2 linked regions of the Diceros bicornis minor genome follow. Each later gene encodes a partner of the first gene's protein in a complex. Links are inferred from orthologs where the notes say so. Each region holds a gene or a part of one and is shown in the gene's direction. Other genes may lie near its edges.

Region 1 (7,579 bases):
ACCTCCAAATCAAACTGACTGGGAAGAGAAGCAGCTGACATCTGAGGCAGACAGCTTTCCCAAGATGACTGGACCAGGCCTGTATACCCTCTTCCCACCATTGTCTTACTTAATTTCTCCCTCTCTTTCGTAGAATGACAATGCCCTTGTCTACATTTCCCAATCCCTTGCCAAAGGGGGAGACCTCTGATTGCTGGATTTGCCATCTGAAACTTCGATCTGTTCAGGACAATAATGACCCCTTAGTTCACCCTATAGGTAGTTTCACTGGAATTCCAGATGCCATTGTATGTTTAAATTGTTCTGCAGGCCCATTTTATAAAGTCGGGGTACTAAGCCTGCCTAATTTCATTCCTTGCTTTTTTTTCTTTTTTTTAAATTTTTTTTTTAATTTATTTTTTCCCCCAAAGCCCCAGTAGATAGTTGTATGTCATAGTTGCACATCCTTCTAGTTGCTGTATGTGGGACGCGGCCTCAGCATGGCCGGAGAAGTGGTGCGTCGGTGCGCGCCCGGGATCCGAACCCGGGCCGCCAGCAGCGGAGCGCGCGCACTTAACCGCTAAGCCACAGGGCAGGCCCCTCATTCCTTGCTTTAATTTAACCCAGCCTTGGGAGGGAAAGGCAAGATCTTATGAATATTTGTATGATAAATTCTGTAGGATAGCAATTGTAAACCAGATCATTTGTACACTTGTTACACCCATATATTTAGGCAACTTCTTAATATGTAAAAACACAATGTCTAAGCCTAGGTTAAATGGTGGTAATGACTCTACGCCAGTGAATAAGTCCATAGATACTGTTGCTTCTGCAGAAGCCTTATGTACAACCCCTGGTTACATTTTCATATGTGAAGGCTCTGACAATAGCCTTTATGCTTGGGCATCTCATTGCCTTAACAGCTGGAGAGTAGGAGATCAGTGTGCCCTTGCCATATTCACCACCCTGTTCTCCCTGCATAACCAATCAGAAGCCTCTCATTGGTCAGTTCCACTAAATTCCTATAATTACCTCAAATAAGAACTTCCAGGAAGTGTGCATGATTCTGGGTTTGCCTCTGTGGGGAGAGCTTTCTTTCTGTGGGTCAGAATAAGTGCTACTGCACAAATGATCAGGATTCTCTCCCTAACACTAGAAGAGTTGGCTGGTTCCACAGCCAAAGCAGTTGCAACCCAACAATAGTTGCTTAACTCATTGGCCAGGGAGTTTGAGATACCTACTTGCTGAGCAGGGAGGTGTCTGTGCAGTAACAAACACCTCCTGTTGCACATGGATAAATAACTCTGGGGAAATAGAGAGCCAATTACATAGAATTAGAGAGCAAGCACATTGGCTACAACAAATTTCACCCAATAACCCACTGTCTTTTGATTTTATTCAGCCCGTTACAAACTGGGCTTGTTGTATTGTTCTTTTTTTTTTTTTTTTTTTGAGGAAGACCAGCCCTGAGCTAACATCTATTGCCAATCCTCCTCCTTTTTTTCCCTTTGTCTCCCCAAAGCCCCAGTAGATAGTTGTATGTCATAGTTGCACATCCTTCTAGTTGCTGTATGTGGGACGTGGCCTCAGCATGGCCGGACAAGTGGTGCGTCGGTGCGCGCCCAGGATCCGAACCCAGGCTGCCAGTAGCGGAGGGCGCGCACTTAACCGCTAAGCCACGGGGCCGGCCCCTGTTGTATTGTTCTTAATCCTGCTTTGTGTACTTGTTGCTAAATGCTGTACGTATTGCCTGTCGAACCTCTGTAAACATGATGTACCTAATAAGTTGATGTTAGCTCAACAATTTGAAACGGTTTCTGAGGCTTACAACCTCAGACAACTATAGACTTTGAATAAGAGATGCTTGAGAGTTCTCCCTCCTGGCCTTCCTTGTTGCTCAAATGTGGCCTAAATGGTTTCCAACCACTGTGCACGTTCCCTGCACCGTGGGACATGACTACCAGGAAAGGTCCTTCCTGGCACCGAGGGACAAAACCACTATGTGCAGAGAACCTGACTCTTGATTAGCAATGCTTGTGGAAGAAGATCTTGATCAAAATGGGAAAATGTGAAAATTAAATAAAGGGAAACCTCATTTAAAATGGAGTTGGGAGGCCAGAAGGGGGAGCTCCCATGCAGTACCACTTGAGGTCAGTTACGGGAAAGATAGTCAATCATAGACCCCAGCAGAAGTCATCAACAGGAAAGAATCATTAATTACAGGAAAAAAATGTACATCGCATCCCAAAGAGAAATCAACTACCCCAGGAACTCAGCCAATGAGAAACCATCACCACTCTGAACTCTTGCTTTTCTCCAATGGATTTTCCTTCAAAACAACTCCTCCCAATTTCCTTTTTCCCTATAAAATAACGTTCCTCTCCTTTGATTATTGGATTTGCTTATGGTCTCCCATAGCATGCATATTCCCAATTGCAATTTTTTAGCTATTCCTGAATAAACTCGTTTTGCTGGAAAAATAACTGACTTTTATTTTTAAGGTTGACAATTCTTATCTGCATTTAAATGTCTACGAGCTTTATAAAAAGGCCTTTCTCTATACATATATCTCCTTGTTACCTTACAACTGCTAGGTCCCTGTAACAAACTTCTTGAAAAAATTGTTTACACTCACATCTCTACTTTTTCATCTTTCACTCACTCATTCAATAAATATTTATTGAGAGCCAACTATGTACCATATACTGTTCTAGGTGCTGATAATTCAGCAATGAATTAAACAAAATCCTTGCTCTTTTAAATCTTACATTCTTGTGAGGGTAGACATGTCCAGAAAAATTGTCCGGAACTTATAAATGGGCAGAAGAGGATTACTGGGTGCTCTTTCATTGTAGTGCTGGGGTTTACATTTGATTGACTTGATGTTGATTAGGCTATCTTACAACTTTGTAGGGGTAGAGGTTAACTTGTAGAAAACTGAGGGCAATGCAAATAATTCTCGTCTGAGAGCAACGCAAACAACTCCTACGCATAGTAACGCAAATGAATTTTGTCCAGCAAAGATGGAATTGATTTTCATCTGGTAGAAGAGATAATCCCAAACATCACAGTTTATTACTTAATAAAATATTAATGTTTTTGCAACTATTAGCAAATTTATTTTAGCATTCCTTTGGCTGATAATCTAAATCTCTAAAACTCAAATTCTCATTGAACAAGTCTTACCATTTACTGGGTCCCTCATTATCTAGGATAATGGGTGAGTAGTTTATTATGATGAATAAAGTCTTTGGCATGTGTTCATTATATATTTGTATAAGAGTTATGTTTTTAACCTTTTGAAAATTACAATTTAGCAGACTATAAGAAAATAAATACATATCAGGTGGTAATAATTTATAAGAATAAATGTGGGGTAAGAGGACAGCTGTTAATGGTGGTGTAGGGCCCAGTCAATCAATCCTGTAATTCTTTTTTTCTTTTCTCCTCCTGCTTTTTTTAAAAATTATTATTATTATTATTTTGTGAGGAAGATCAGCCCTTAGCTAACATCCATGCCAATTCTCCTCTTTTTTTTAGCTGAAGACCACTGGCCCCGACCTAACATCTATTGCCAATCCCCCTCCTTTTTCTTTTTCCCCCTTTTTCTCCCCAAAGCCCCAGTAGATAGTTGTATGTCATAACTGCACATCCTTCTAGTTGCTGTATGTGGAACACCACCTCAGCATGGCCTGAGAAGCAGTGCATCGGGTGTGCGCCAGGGGTTCCGAACCTGGGCCGCCAGTAGCAGAGCGTGGACACTTAATTGGCTAAGCCACGGGGCCGGCTCGTGTAATTCTCTCTTAACTGTAAGTGGAATCCATCCTCTTCTCTCCATCTTACTGCCACCACACTAATCCAGAACATCATCTTCTCTCATCTGACCTCCCTGCCTGCCTTACCCCTAACTACTCTGATCATCTGCTGTCAGATGTTCATTTTTAAAAACACTTATCTGATCATGTTCCTCCTCTCCACCGGCTCCTTGGTGGATTCAAGTTTTGTGGGGCCTAAAGCTTACTCAAATTCGGGAGGCCTTCTTTAAGAAAAACAATACAAAATTAGGTACAGGCCCTTGAAGGGGGCAGTGCCAATGACAGGTCCTGAAACTTAAGCTTCATTAGCTTCACTATAAATCCGCCTCTGCCTACAAGTCTAGCCTGTTTTTTTCCTCTTAGGATCTTTTCTTCGTGCAACTTCTGCCTAGAAGGCCCTTACCACCCCTTTTTGCCTAGTTAACTCTTTCAGTATTCAAGTGCCAGTTCCCAGTCCTCTCTGACCCCCCCAACTGGGTCAGGGACCTTTACGGAGTCTCTCTCAATGCTCCAAACATCCAGGCGGAGCCACCATTCTGTGCGAATGGTTGCTCTTTCCCAGCGCTCTCAAAGATCGCTGGCGGGGCGAGGTTTGCACCCGGAATGTAAAGATGGGCGGAGCCCCGGGAGAGAGTCAGCGGTAATTCCCTCCCCTTTACGTCCAGAGCGGCGCGCACCACCTCTCCGGAACCCGCGAGCCTCCGGTTGCGGTTCCGGTCGGAATTACCCGGCAACGCACGCAGACATGGCTGCGCTGGTAGTGAGAGGTGTTCGGGACGTGCTGAAGCGGGCCGACTTCGCGACGGTCCCGCGGAGACATCGACATAAGAAGAAATGGGTAAGGCCCAGGAGGGAACAGTGACAGCGGCCCCTTGCCACCGCCTCTCGGGAAACCTCCCCAGCCCTTCCACTGCTCGCCCGGCTCAGTTAGGGTCGCTCCTCTCTCCGGTTGGAACGCCTTCGACCTCTTGTCCCGCCCCTCAGGGAGCGTCACTAGGCTCCTCCCTCACATCTGTTACGTCGTCGCCTCTGTCCGCCCTTTTATTTCGTCACGAGTCTTCGGCTCTCCCTCTTGATAAGTGTGCAGCCTCCTGACTCCGCCCCTCTGTTACGTCATCGCCTCCGCCGTCATTCTTTCAGTTATGTCACCGCCTCTTGTTCCCCTGCTCGCGGTTCCGTTCCGCTTGGCTCCCACTACCTCTTCCCCTTCCCTCCCTCCCCCTCCCCCTCCCCCTCCCTCCCCTTCTTTCCTACCCTGACCTCTTCTCCTCCGCCCCCTATGACCTCCTCTCCTCCCTTCCTCCGAGAACTTCGAGCCCGGCCGCCCTCACCCCTCGGAAAATGTCACAGCGACTTCCCGGTCCTCCCTGGGTCTCCTTCGCCCTCCAGGAAAGGAGTCAACTCCCTCACCCTCGAGCTGCCTCTGGCGCCCAGGAAAGGTTACAGTGACCACCCTGCCGGTAGTCCCGGCCTTTCCCCAAACTCAGGCAAAAGGTGCAGCGACTCCCCTCACCCCCTGGGCTCTCCCCGCTGCTCCAGACACCCTTTCTCTGGCCTCACCTGTAGCCCTGGAATTTCTTCCGTAACCGGCCCGCCCCCCTCTCTACCCCGACCGATTCCCTCCCCGCCCCCACCGCCCCCCTCCCCACCCCCACCGCCGCCCCTGCGTCTGGGGACATGTTCTTTTGAACCTTGTTCTCCACTCCTCGGAAGGCCTTACTGCCCTGAGACTATCCTCTCGGGTTCGTCCCCCCCGAGCCCTTGTTTTGACCGGTTCAGCCTTCTGGGGTCACCCCCTCTCCGTCCCCGGAGCCCTTATTGCGGCTGGATCAGCTCCCCGAGAACACCGTGTCCCTGTCCCCGAAGCCCTTACATCGACCAGCACACTTACCTCTGTTACTGTGGTGGATACCCTTCAGCCCTGGTAACCAGCCCGGTGACCTCCCCTCCCCTTACTCATCGGCCCCTGGGAACCACCCCGGTGACTTCTCCTCCTGTCACTCATGTGCCGTTGGAAACTGGCCCCATGATTTCACCTCCTGTCACTCATCAGCACCCAGGAACCAGCCCCGGGACCTCCCGTCCGGTCACTCATGTCACCTTGGAAACTGGTCCCATAATTTCACCTGTTTTCACTCATGAGCCCCCTAGAACTGGTCCCGTGATTTCCTCTTCCATCACTCATGGATCCCAGGGAACTTGCCCCATGATTTCACCTCCTCTTACTCATAGGCCCTTGGGAACTGGCCTCATGATTTCACCTCCCCTTGCTCACCGGCCCATGGAAACTAGACCTATAGTTTCCCCACCCCTTTCTCACAGGGTTTTGCAAACTGGGCCCATGATCTCCCCTCCACTCTCTCCCTGGTCCTCAGGGAGAAGTTATAATGACCCTCCTCTTTCCCAAGCATCTTCCCCACCCACCGGCAGGTTTTACCATGGCCACCATAAGCCTCCAGACTCTTGTGAACCTAAACCACAGCTTGACCCACCCCGTGGGAAAAATTACTGTGGCTCCCCACTTTCTTCTCAGGCAGGCACATCTGGCTGTCCCAGCTCACCTCCAGAGGGCCCTTATCACTATTCCCATCTTCCCCCAGAGACCTGCATACCTGCCCCTGGGAGCCCTTGTTGTGCCATCCGCCTACCCCCTGGGAGTACTGGTTCTCCTTGCTTACCCCAGTCCCAGGCTTCCAGGAAGCCTTGCTTTGAGTCCTTGTTCTCCTGGGAGACTGGTGGGAGCTCTTACCTCTTCGTAACCCCAGTCGCTATGATTTCTGGTCCCCCTTGTCCCCAGGAACCACCTCTTCCCCTGTCCTCGCCTTGTCCTTATTCTGCCTTCTTTCCTTCACCCCTGAGCAACCAGTTTATATCTCCACCTCAGTCACCCCCCCGCAGAAGCTATAACGACCCTCCTCTGCCTACCCCAGCTTGCCCCCAAGTGAAGTCCCCCAAATCCTCAGAGTTAAGACAGCCACGTGCTCCCCACAGAAGTCGCTCCCTGGTCACCCCTCCCCGGCAAACTCCTCCTGACCAGCCCAGGCCCCCTAAGGCCAGCACCTCTCCTCCACCTCCCTCCGGCCCTTCTGGTCTCTCAGGTGCTTTTTGTACAGTGACATCCGTTACAACTTGCTCAAATTCTTGCCCTAAAGAACTTCCCCAAGGGACTACCTTACCTACTGTGGTCCCTAGAGTCCTCAAAACTGTTATCCCCACTTCCCTTCCCCTCCGCCTTCCTTATGATTCTGTCTCACCCAATAGTTATGCTCAGAGAAGCCCCCATGGACCCCTCATAAGATCCCCCTGCAGTACCCATGTATATTCTGTGGTTCCCTCCACCCCCGATCCCTGCCCACTCTCTGGTTCCCTCAATCAATCCACACGCCCCCCTCAGTGTCATAAGCAACCCATGGTGCCCCCCTGTGGCACCTATAGCACTCCCAGGGGCCCACCCCAACCCCATTGCCAGCCTGTGGCACCTCCTTGTTCTACCCACATCTATTCTTGTATCCCTTTGAGAACACCCTTTGACCCCCAAAGTTTACCTATTGCCCCCCGAGCCCGAGGCCGACCTGATGCTATGCCCTGTGGCCTGCATGTCTACTCTGTGGCTTCTCGAGGCTCCTGCAAAGAGTCCTCCCAGATTCCCTACAGCTGTCCTTTGCCTTCATCCAAGAGTTCCAGCTGTAGTTCAACTATTATTATTAGTGAATACCAGAGTAGTGACAGCCAGAGCAAGAATACCCACCAAAGTGGAAGTCGGAGCCAAAGTGAGAGTCCCCACC
Region 2 (7,684 bases), on another chromosome or scaffold:
TCCACGTGCTCTCTCTAGGCTCTCAGGACACTCCTCTGGGATGGTGAGGCTCAGGGCGGCTCTGTTGAGATGACACCCATGTTGTTAGGAGAAAGGGGAGCCAAGTCCAGACTCAAGTCTGAGGGCTCTTCTCAGAGCTCATGCCTCCTTCCTGTGGGGACTTATCTGGGACTCTGCTGCTGCCGCCTCCCTCCCCTCTCCTCTTATGTGAACCTGTGTCATTCACAGCTCTGCAAAGCCAGAGCCCCCGGAAACAGGCGAGGTTAGGAACCTCTGCACCTTGGTTAAGTGAGCGAGGCGGGATCTTGAACTCTAAGCTTTCATTTCAGAGGCGACAAACATCTCCTGCAGCCCTTCTCAAAGTGCAGCTGGGGGCCCTGTGCACCAGGACCCCTGGGGTGCTAGTTAAAAATGGGGGCTCCACAGCCCCCTCCTGCCCAGTCAGAGGCGTTCATGGCAGGCGGACCCAGGCCTCGCAGTTTTGAGACTGGCTGCACGCCTAGCGTGGGTCTTTATGTCCCCAGATCTCATGAACCTCGTGTCTGGGCTGCTGCAGCCTGTCCCCGAGCAGCGCACCACCTTGGAGAAGCTGGTGGCAGACCCCTGGGTGACGCAGCCCGTGAACCTTGCTAACTACACCTGGGATGAGGTGTATCGAGTAAACAAACCAGGTGAGAGGTGTGGCCTGTGCACTATGGAGGGTGAGGAGGTTCCCCAGGGTGCTTTCCTAGGTCTGTGGAGGAGGAGGGGTTCCAGCTCCCATGCTGTCCTAGACACAAATGTCAGGGCATCACCTGTAAAACAAACAGGCGTTGATTCTGTTCCAGAGGCCCCTGAACAACACTGGGGTTCAGAGCTTGGCTGTGGGCCTTAGAAGGTGAGTGAGTGCCCATGCGAGCCCCTGACAAGGAGGCACCCACAGACGGGTCAGGGGCTGGGGGCCGAGGGTTTGAGAAGCACAGCTCAAGATGGTCTGAGCAAGCTGAAGGGGAGGATAAGGCCACAGGTGGTGAGTTTGATGCTCTAGGGGGACCCAGGGGGACCCTGGCTCTTCAGACAAGGCTCCTGGCTGCACAGCCTGGTGGCAGCAGCACAGTGAGTCTGGTCACCGCTGCTCGGAGCAAGCGGACGGAACTGGTGTTGATGGCTCTGGGCGCAGAATCCCTGCCACACCTCAGTAGGGTCCAGGAACTCTAGAGCATTGCCAGTTGGGTTCTGGAGGGTCCCTCTGGTGTTGTTTGCTCCTAGGAATTCTTCCAGAGAGAAGCAAAGTATTTTAGAATCTTGTGTTCTTAGCATGTGATACAGTGACTTCTTTCTTCAGAAAGCGGAGTTCTGTCCACTGTGAGCCTGGAGACGGAGAGTAGGAGCCCCAATGAAGTGGCTTGGGCCCTGGAGCTGCACAGAGCCTTGTGCCCCCGGGGAGGCCCCTGATGAGGCTGAACACCAGCTTCCTGTTGCTCTTCTGCACTCAGTTAGGAAATTGTATTGTTTTCAGGCCCCTTCCATTCAGAGACAGTAACTTCTTAAGAATTAGGCTGAATTCACCTTCTAAAAACTCATATGCAAGTTTGATAAATGCTAGAACAAAAGCCAGTGAAATGATATTATTTTAGGTTTATAAAATAGACTTGGAATTCATTTTTTTCATGACCTTGAAAAAACATTCTAGTGTTCACTTGAGTTTTGTCCTATTAAAGGGCTTTCAATTTGTGACCTTCTGAAAGGCATAAAAAAGGTTTTTGGTTCTCTTTCCACTTTTGTATACATGCATGTATTTCTGTTTCCTCTGACTGGGTATATGCTCATCTGGGGTGTGGAATTGGTAGAGCTGGTTCGCCAAATGACTAGACTCTTTCATTAATTTATTTCCGTCAACATATGCCAAATTAAAGCAATTTTGTAAACAGTTCCCCTGCCTTGGATGGTATGAATTATCCCACAGTGCCGGTGTGGGAGGCACTTCCATTTGTGTGCCCCACTTGCCACAGCTGGAGAGAGGATCAACCTCGGTCTGTTTGGGGGTCCCACCCACAGGGGGCGCCTGGGGCTCTGCTGCTTGCTTAGTCTAAGGAGACTGGGAGGTTGTGGTGTTCTCAGGCACTTCCTTTCTCCCTGTGCACAGCTCGCCAGGGCCAGCCCACCATCTGTCTGGGCTCTGCTGTGCAGTGGGCTCTGCAGTGGGACTCTGCTGTCCACCCATGACACGCTCCCAGCACCCGCCAGACATCCTGCAGCCAGCCCAGGCCCCACCTCTGGTACTGTGTGGGGGGCGTCCAGCCCCGGGCCCCACCTCTGGTATTGTGTGGGGGGCGTCCAGCCCTGACTGTCACTGTCCTTTTCCCACTCTTGCTCAGGTCCCAGTGCGTCTCTCACACACTCACATGCCTCCTCCCCTGTCAAACAGAATCAGCCAGCTGAAGCACATGAAATCCAGCCTCTATTTTGCTATGTTTGAGGGGAGGGAGTGGTTAAGTGCAAGAGAGAAACCTTTCATTTTTTTTCCCCTGCTGAGACAGCAGGAAGGAAACAAAAACAGAAACCAAGACTCCCCTCACTGCTTTTTTTCCACATCATCACTTTCTGCATGTTCCAAGTCTCCTCCTGCCCAGAGCCCTCTGGAAGATGCTCAGGGGCCAGCCTGCCTCCACTATGGTCCAGTGCTGTTTCTAGTGTTCATTTAGGAAGCACTCAACTGTCTTAATATTTTAGGATGTTCAGATAACGGTTCATTTTATTCTCATCTACTGGGATATGGGATATTGCCATCCTGCCCTTTAGAAAGTGAAGCCCGAGTCTCCCAGTCATCACAAGAGACTGATGGGGGACCCTCCTCCATCAGGCACAGGAAAGACAGGGTTTTTAGAAGTATAGCTTTAAAGCGTGGAGTAAAAAGTTAGTGATGTTTATTCTTCATAATTCAAATAAGTTTCCTGATGTTCTAAGAACTCTGTTTTCAAGAGTGAAAAAAACCTAAACATTTTTCCTTGTAGTGTTTATGATGCTTATAATACATAAGAAATTGCATAATGTTTTTTTTTAGACAGGTGCGCAATGGGCTGAGAATGCAAAGTCCTAGCTCTCCAACAACTGTTACTTCTTCATAAGACAAAATAATTAAAACTCATCTGACCTGATGGTAGTAGAAGGTCTGATACTTGGAGTGTTCTTCCCAGAAAGAGCCCCGATGGAAACATGCTGAGGCCGAGGCTGACAAATTTTCTCCCCGTGTTCCAAGCGTGATTCTAGAGAGCAGAGTTTTCATAGAGGAGTGAAGATGCTGTCGGCTTTTTAGAGTAATCCCTGCCTTCCAGCCGCCGTGTTATTTCTAGAGCTAGATAACCTGTTGGTTTCCTGATTCCTTCCAGGGCATGGGGGTGGCACGCAGGATTTTCTTAGGCTTTGAGTGTAAAAGCATTAACATAATTTATTTTGAGGTGCTGACAGTTGAGTGTTTTAAGAAGAAAATTAGATTAACAAACAAAAACAACCAATTCTTTGGTTTGAAGGGGAGGAAGGCTATCCTCTACCCATGCTGGGTCCTTTCTGGCTGGGGTATGAAGTAAATTGACTCATGAGACTGAACAGCAGGAGAAAATCAAACAAAGCTTTATAACATGTATACATGGGAGAAACCAGGGAAACTTAAATAGCATATTCAGACAGACAAAGGAGGATGTTGGGTGTGGGAAGGGAGACAGCTATGGGAGATGACCAGAAAGCACAGTAACAAGAGTATGCAGATTTAAGAGTTTCTAGAGATAAAGTCATCCCCCCTTCTTCCTGGTACAGAGAGGGAGTTACCTTTACAAGTGTAAATGTTTGGTAAACAGAACTTTGATAAGAATGGGCTTAGGAAGAACCCTCCCAGTCTATCACTTTTAGGTGTAAGTTTGGGGGAAGGTCAAAGTTTCTTTCAGAGAAAATAATCAAGGTAAAGAGACATATTTTGAGGTGGCCAATTTTGATCTCCCACAGGTTCCACACAGATTCAATCTTCCTTTTCTTTGATATAAACCTTTTGTAAAAAAGATATGTTTTAGCACCCAGCCCAGTGCCTCCCACAGAGCAGGTACTCTGTAAATTGTAACCTTGCAAGAATCAAGCCCTTTTTCTCAGTTCAGAAACAAGCAGATAAAACAAGTAGAAATGCTTATAAATTAAGGTTTTGGGCTTACAAGTGGCAGAATTTAGGCAGCTAAAAAAGCACACCTTTTTATTCTTTTTCACACTATCCCCTTTTAAAAGATGCCTAGGCTCTATACTAGAACTATTACAGGTCTCGATTTGAAATTTAAGAATGAATACAAATCAGGCTGAAACATTAGTGGATTCCATCCCAGCAGGAAACCAGACCTCTGAGTCTGCAGGGCCGTCGTTCCTGTCATCTTCTATATGCCTGTCTGTGCGTGTGTGTGTCCTCAGTATTCACGTTGGAGACGGGTTTACACGAAGTCTGGAATAACTTGATCTGGGACCCACTCCATTTTCACTCAGACGGCCTTGTCTCCAACCCAACACGCACCTGCTTCAGGAGGGCTCCTGCTTTCTCGGGGGAAGTCATTGTTGGCGCCACAGGAAACGGCGGGTCTGAACCAAGGTTACGGCTTCATTTCACTTCTGCTCTTCAGAGGAATTTTAATATAGTGGGAAGCAGAAGTATGGCGTTGGAGCTTTTCCTTGGCTATGCTAGCCGAGAGCTCTGGAAAGTGGGAAAGCCGGGCAACGTCGGCACGAGGCAGAGAACCCGTGGCCTCGGGCGGCGCGAGGCCCCAACGCTGGACACGCTCTGCGCGGGCAGCGGCGGAACGCGCTTCCCGCGCTCTCGCGCTTGCGAGGGGGAGGGCGGAAGTGCCGGACCGGGGAGGGCGGAAGTGCCGGACCGGGGAGGGCTCAGCTTCTGGCGTCGGGGTCTTTACCACCGTCTGTGGGCTATGGCGGCGGTCGTCCGGCAGGTGAGGTCGCGCCAGGTACCGGGGGTCCCCGGGGACGTGGACGAGCGGCAGCCGTCGGGGTGTGTGACAGCAGGCCGTGGCACCTCGCAGCCGGAGCCTTCCCGTGAGGCCGGGGCACGCCGGCCTGGGGCCGCCCTGGACCCGCGGCGCTCTCTGCTCCATCAGTGCGCCGTGAGCGCAGCTTCCCGCGCCCCGCGCTGGGCCGGACCTGGGGGTGAATCCGGCGGACGGAGCAGCGGGACCACCCACAGGGCGAGCGGGGGAAGCTGGGGAGCAGCGAGCGCGTGGGCTTGACTGACGGACGGGGGTGCGACGGTACCTAACGCTGGAGGGGCTTTGGGACGGGGTGGGAAGCGAGTGAGTGTCTGGGTGATCTGTGCTTGTTTGGTTACGCGCTTGCCTGAACGGCTGAAGAGTTTTGACGTAAACGGGAATTCTCTATACAAGTTGGCTGACAGGCTAATTATATCCAATAGGATTCTTCTTGTGGAATAAATTTAGGTACGTGAATCTGGAGACTAGTATGAGGTCCAGATGTTTCAGGTGTGGATACCAACCCGGACCCCCAGAGTTGGCGTGAGGATTATTTTAAACTAAAGATGGTTGAGATTCAGCAGATAGAGAAAGAAGCTTTCTCGGAGCTTCCCTTACCTCCCTAAAAACAGAAATTTCTGGGAATGAGGCTGCCATGGACCCCTCTCCTGGGGAGTTTTGTAGCCTTAAAGAAAAAAGACTGCTCGGACCTGCACAAGCAAACATTATCACAGACGTTATCTCTCTTTTTTTCTTTAGAAACCCATTTGTTCTTCCCGTAGAAGCTTTTTCTACCCCTCTGTCTCCCCTATTAAATTAGCCCCTAACTTTAGTGATTTAAGGAGCTACCTCTTTTGTGAGCTGACATATGTATATGAATAAACTTTGTTTTTTCCCCTCATGTTAATCCGTGTATTGTCAGTTAAATTTGCAGGCCCCCCAGGCACTCACCCTTAGAGGGTAGAGGAAAATGTTGTCTCCTCAGGTAGGCAGATTTTACCAGGTGGCCTTAAACTAGTTCTGCCTTGTCCCTGCCTACCTCTGTCCCCTCAATTATAGCAGCAAAAGCTCATGGAGACTTGTTTGACTCTCTGACCTCTATGTTCTTGCAACACTCTTTTCTCTATATGTGAACTTCCTTCTCTGTAGGCTAAGTTCAGATAAGATTTTGCAGATTGCTTATAAAAACTGTTACGTTTGTGTGGGACCAAGGCACTAAATACCCTGGTTCAAAAATCCTGTGGTGTCTATTACATTGGGGTGGTGAGGAAATGATTCCCTTTTGGTCCTGTGTCTTATAGGTCTTTGACCGGCACTGCCTGATCCCCCTCATCTGGGCCCGTGTTGCTAGGCAGACTCCTCATGTTGGAGAACAGAAAACGACGACTGCTGCTTTGTTGCGTAAACTGACCACAGCCTCCAGTGGAGGGGGCCTTGAGGACTTATCCTGTTTTGAACCCGAAAAGTATGTGCAGGAACCAGAGTACAGGACAAATCTTACTCACTGCCTCCTTGAGAAGCAGAGGACTCCTGTGGATCAAGGGTCCTTGGAGCGAGAGAAGGTCATCAGTTCCCTCCTGGACATGGGTTTCAGTGATGTCCATATTAATGAATTGCTCAGTATACAACCAGGTACCCACCCTCAACAGTTGTTGGACATTATTTCAGAATTAATACTCTTGGGTTTGAATCCAGAGCCTGTGTATGTGGCCTTGAAGAAAAGTCCTCAATTATTGAAAGTGCCTGTAATGCACATGAAGAAGCGCTCCAGTTACCTGCGAAAGCTTGGGCTTGAAGAAGGTACAAAAAGGCGCAGGTTTTATACATAGTGCTGAGAGGAGTCAGAGTTGGGGAACGAATAGTATAGGTGAGATGGATTCGGGAAAGTTTCTGGAGAAAAGGCCTTGAGAGGAATGCGTGATTTGGCTTGGAGGTGAGGAAGAGGAGTGACCTCTGCAGAGGGCATTGCAGGAGGGAAGAGGGGAGGGTTGGGACTAGAAGAGAGAATTGGAAGGGACTCCTGTCTAGTGTGTTCACTGTGGGGGCTCTAGCATGTAGAACAGTGGTGGGCACCTAGTGTGTGCTCAACAGATAGATGTCAATATGTGATGTTGATATACGTGTATATTACAAAGTTCCTGGTAAAGGCTTGGATTCCAGGTAGCTTGCCTTGATTTACTGTGGAACATGAGCTCTTCCCAGGTTCCTGGGAAACTGGTGGTGTGGCTGTTCCCTCCAGCCACCACCCTCACCTCCAGTGGGATTCGTACCTCAAGGATCCTGGAAGTTCGTTGGATCTCTTTAAGGGCTTTCTGGAATAGGGGCTGGGGGCCCATGTGGTTCTCCAAGAACTGGTACCCACTTTGACCCGAGGAGTTTTATTATTATTTTTTTCATTCTTGACTCTTACTGGTAAGATTGTTGGGGAGAAGAAAAGGTTTGTGGATCCACTATTTCAGAGGATCTATAGGCCGCCTTCTCCAGCAGATAAGCAAAAAGATAGCCTTGGGTGTTTCTCTTAACAGGTTCCCTGTTGCAGTATAATCTGAGAGGCTAAACTTAATACTTATGTGCATGATTATTAATTAGCAAGCTCAGCACAGCCTTAAGAGGCAGAGATGTAGTCTAAACTCCTGAAATTCATTCCTGACATATTTAGCAAGACAGTGACTAACTCAGCTGTTAGGAAGATTTAT

Evidence for each region. Proteins that work in one complex are often made in the same cells at the same time.
Region 2: the proteins of NSUN4 (region 1) and MTERF4 are in contact, whole or in part, in a crystal structure (PDB 4FP9), measured with the Homo sapiens proteins. The link is inferred for Diceros bicornis minor from reciprocal best matches to the Homo sapiens genes NSUN4 and MTERF4. Residues at the interface, in NP_950245.2 of Homo sapiens: Pro61, Ser62, Arg64, Val65, Leu68, Ser69, Glu70, Arg136, Gly137, Asp138, Ile139, Arg141, Asn367, Leu368, Met369; in NP_872307.2 of Homo sapiens: Tyr267, Glu269, Arg270, Leu271, Gly272, Arg273, Glu311, Glu312, Val315, Phe316, Lys318, Leu319, Arg322, Glu323, Glu326.

The regions. Positions count from the first base shown.
Region 1 is NC_080752.1:9,208,114-9,215,692, forward strand, and holds the start of NSUN4 (5-methylcytosine rRNA methyltransferase NSUN4), read left to right. Parts: upstream 1-4,497; 5' UTR 4,498-4,539; coding exon 4,540-4,632; intron 4,633-7,579. UniProt on the Homo sapiens protein: Mitochondrial RNA cytosine C(5)-methyltransferase that methylates cytosine to 5-methylcytosine (m5C) in various RNAs, such as rRNAs, mRNAs and some long non-coding RNAs (lncRNAs).
Region 2 is NC_080776.1:27,970,547-27,978,230, reverse strand, and holds the start of MTERF4 (transcription termination factor 4, mitochondrial), read left to right. Parts: upstream 1-4,646; 5' UTR 4,647-4,661; coding exon 4,662-4,970; intron 4,971-6,289; coding exon 6,290-6,788; intron 6,789-7,684. Other genes in the region: PASK (PAS domain-containing serine/threonine-protein kinase), read left to right, coding at 525-671, 1,325-1,434. UniProt on the Homo sapiens protein: Regulator of mitochondrial ribosome biogenesis and translation. Binds to mitochondrial ribosomal RNAs 16S, 12S and 7S and targets NSUN4 RNA methyltransferase to the mitochondrial large ribosomal subunit (39S).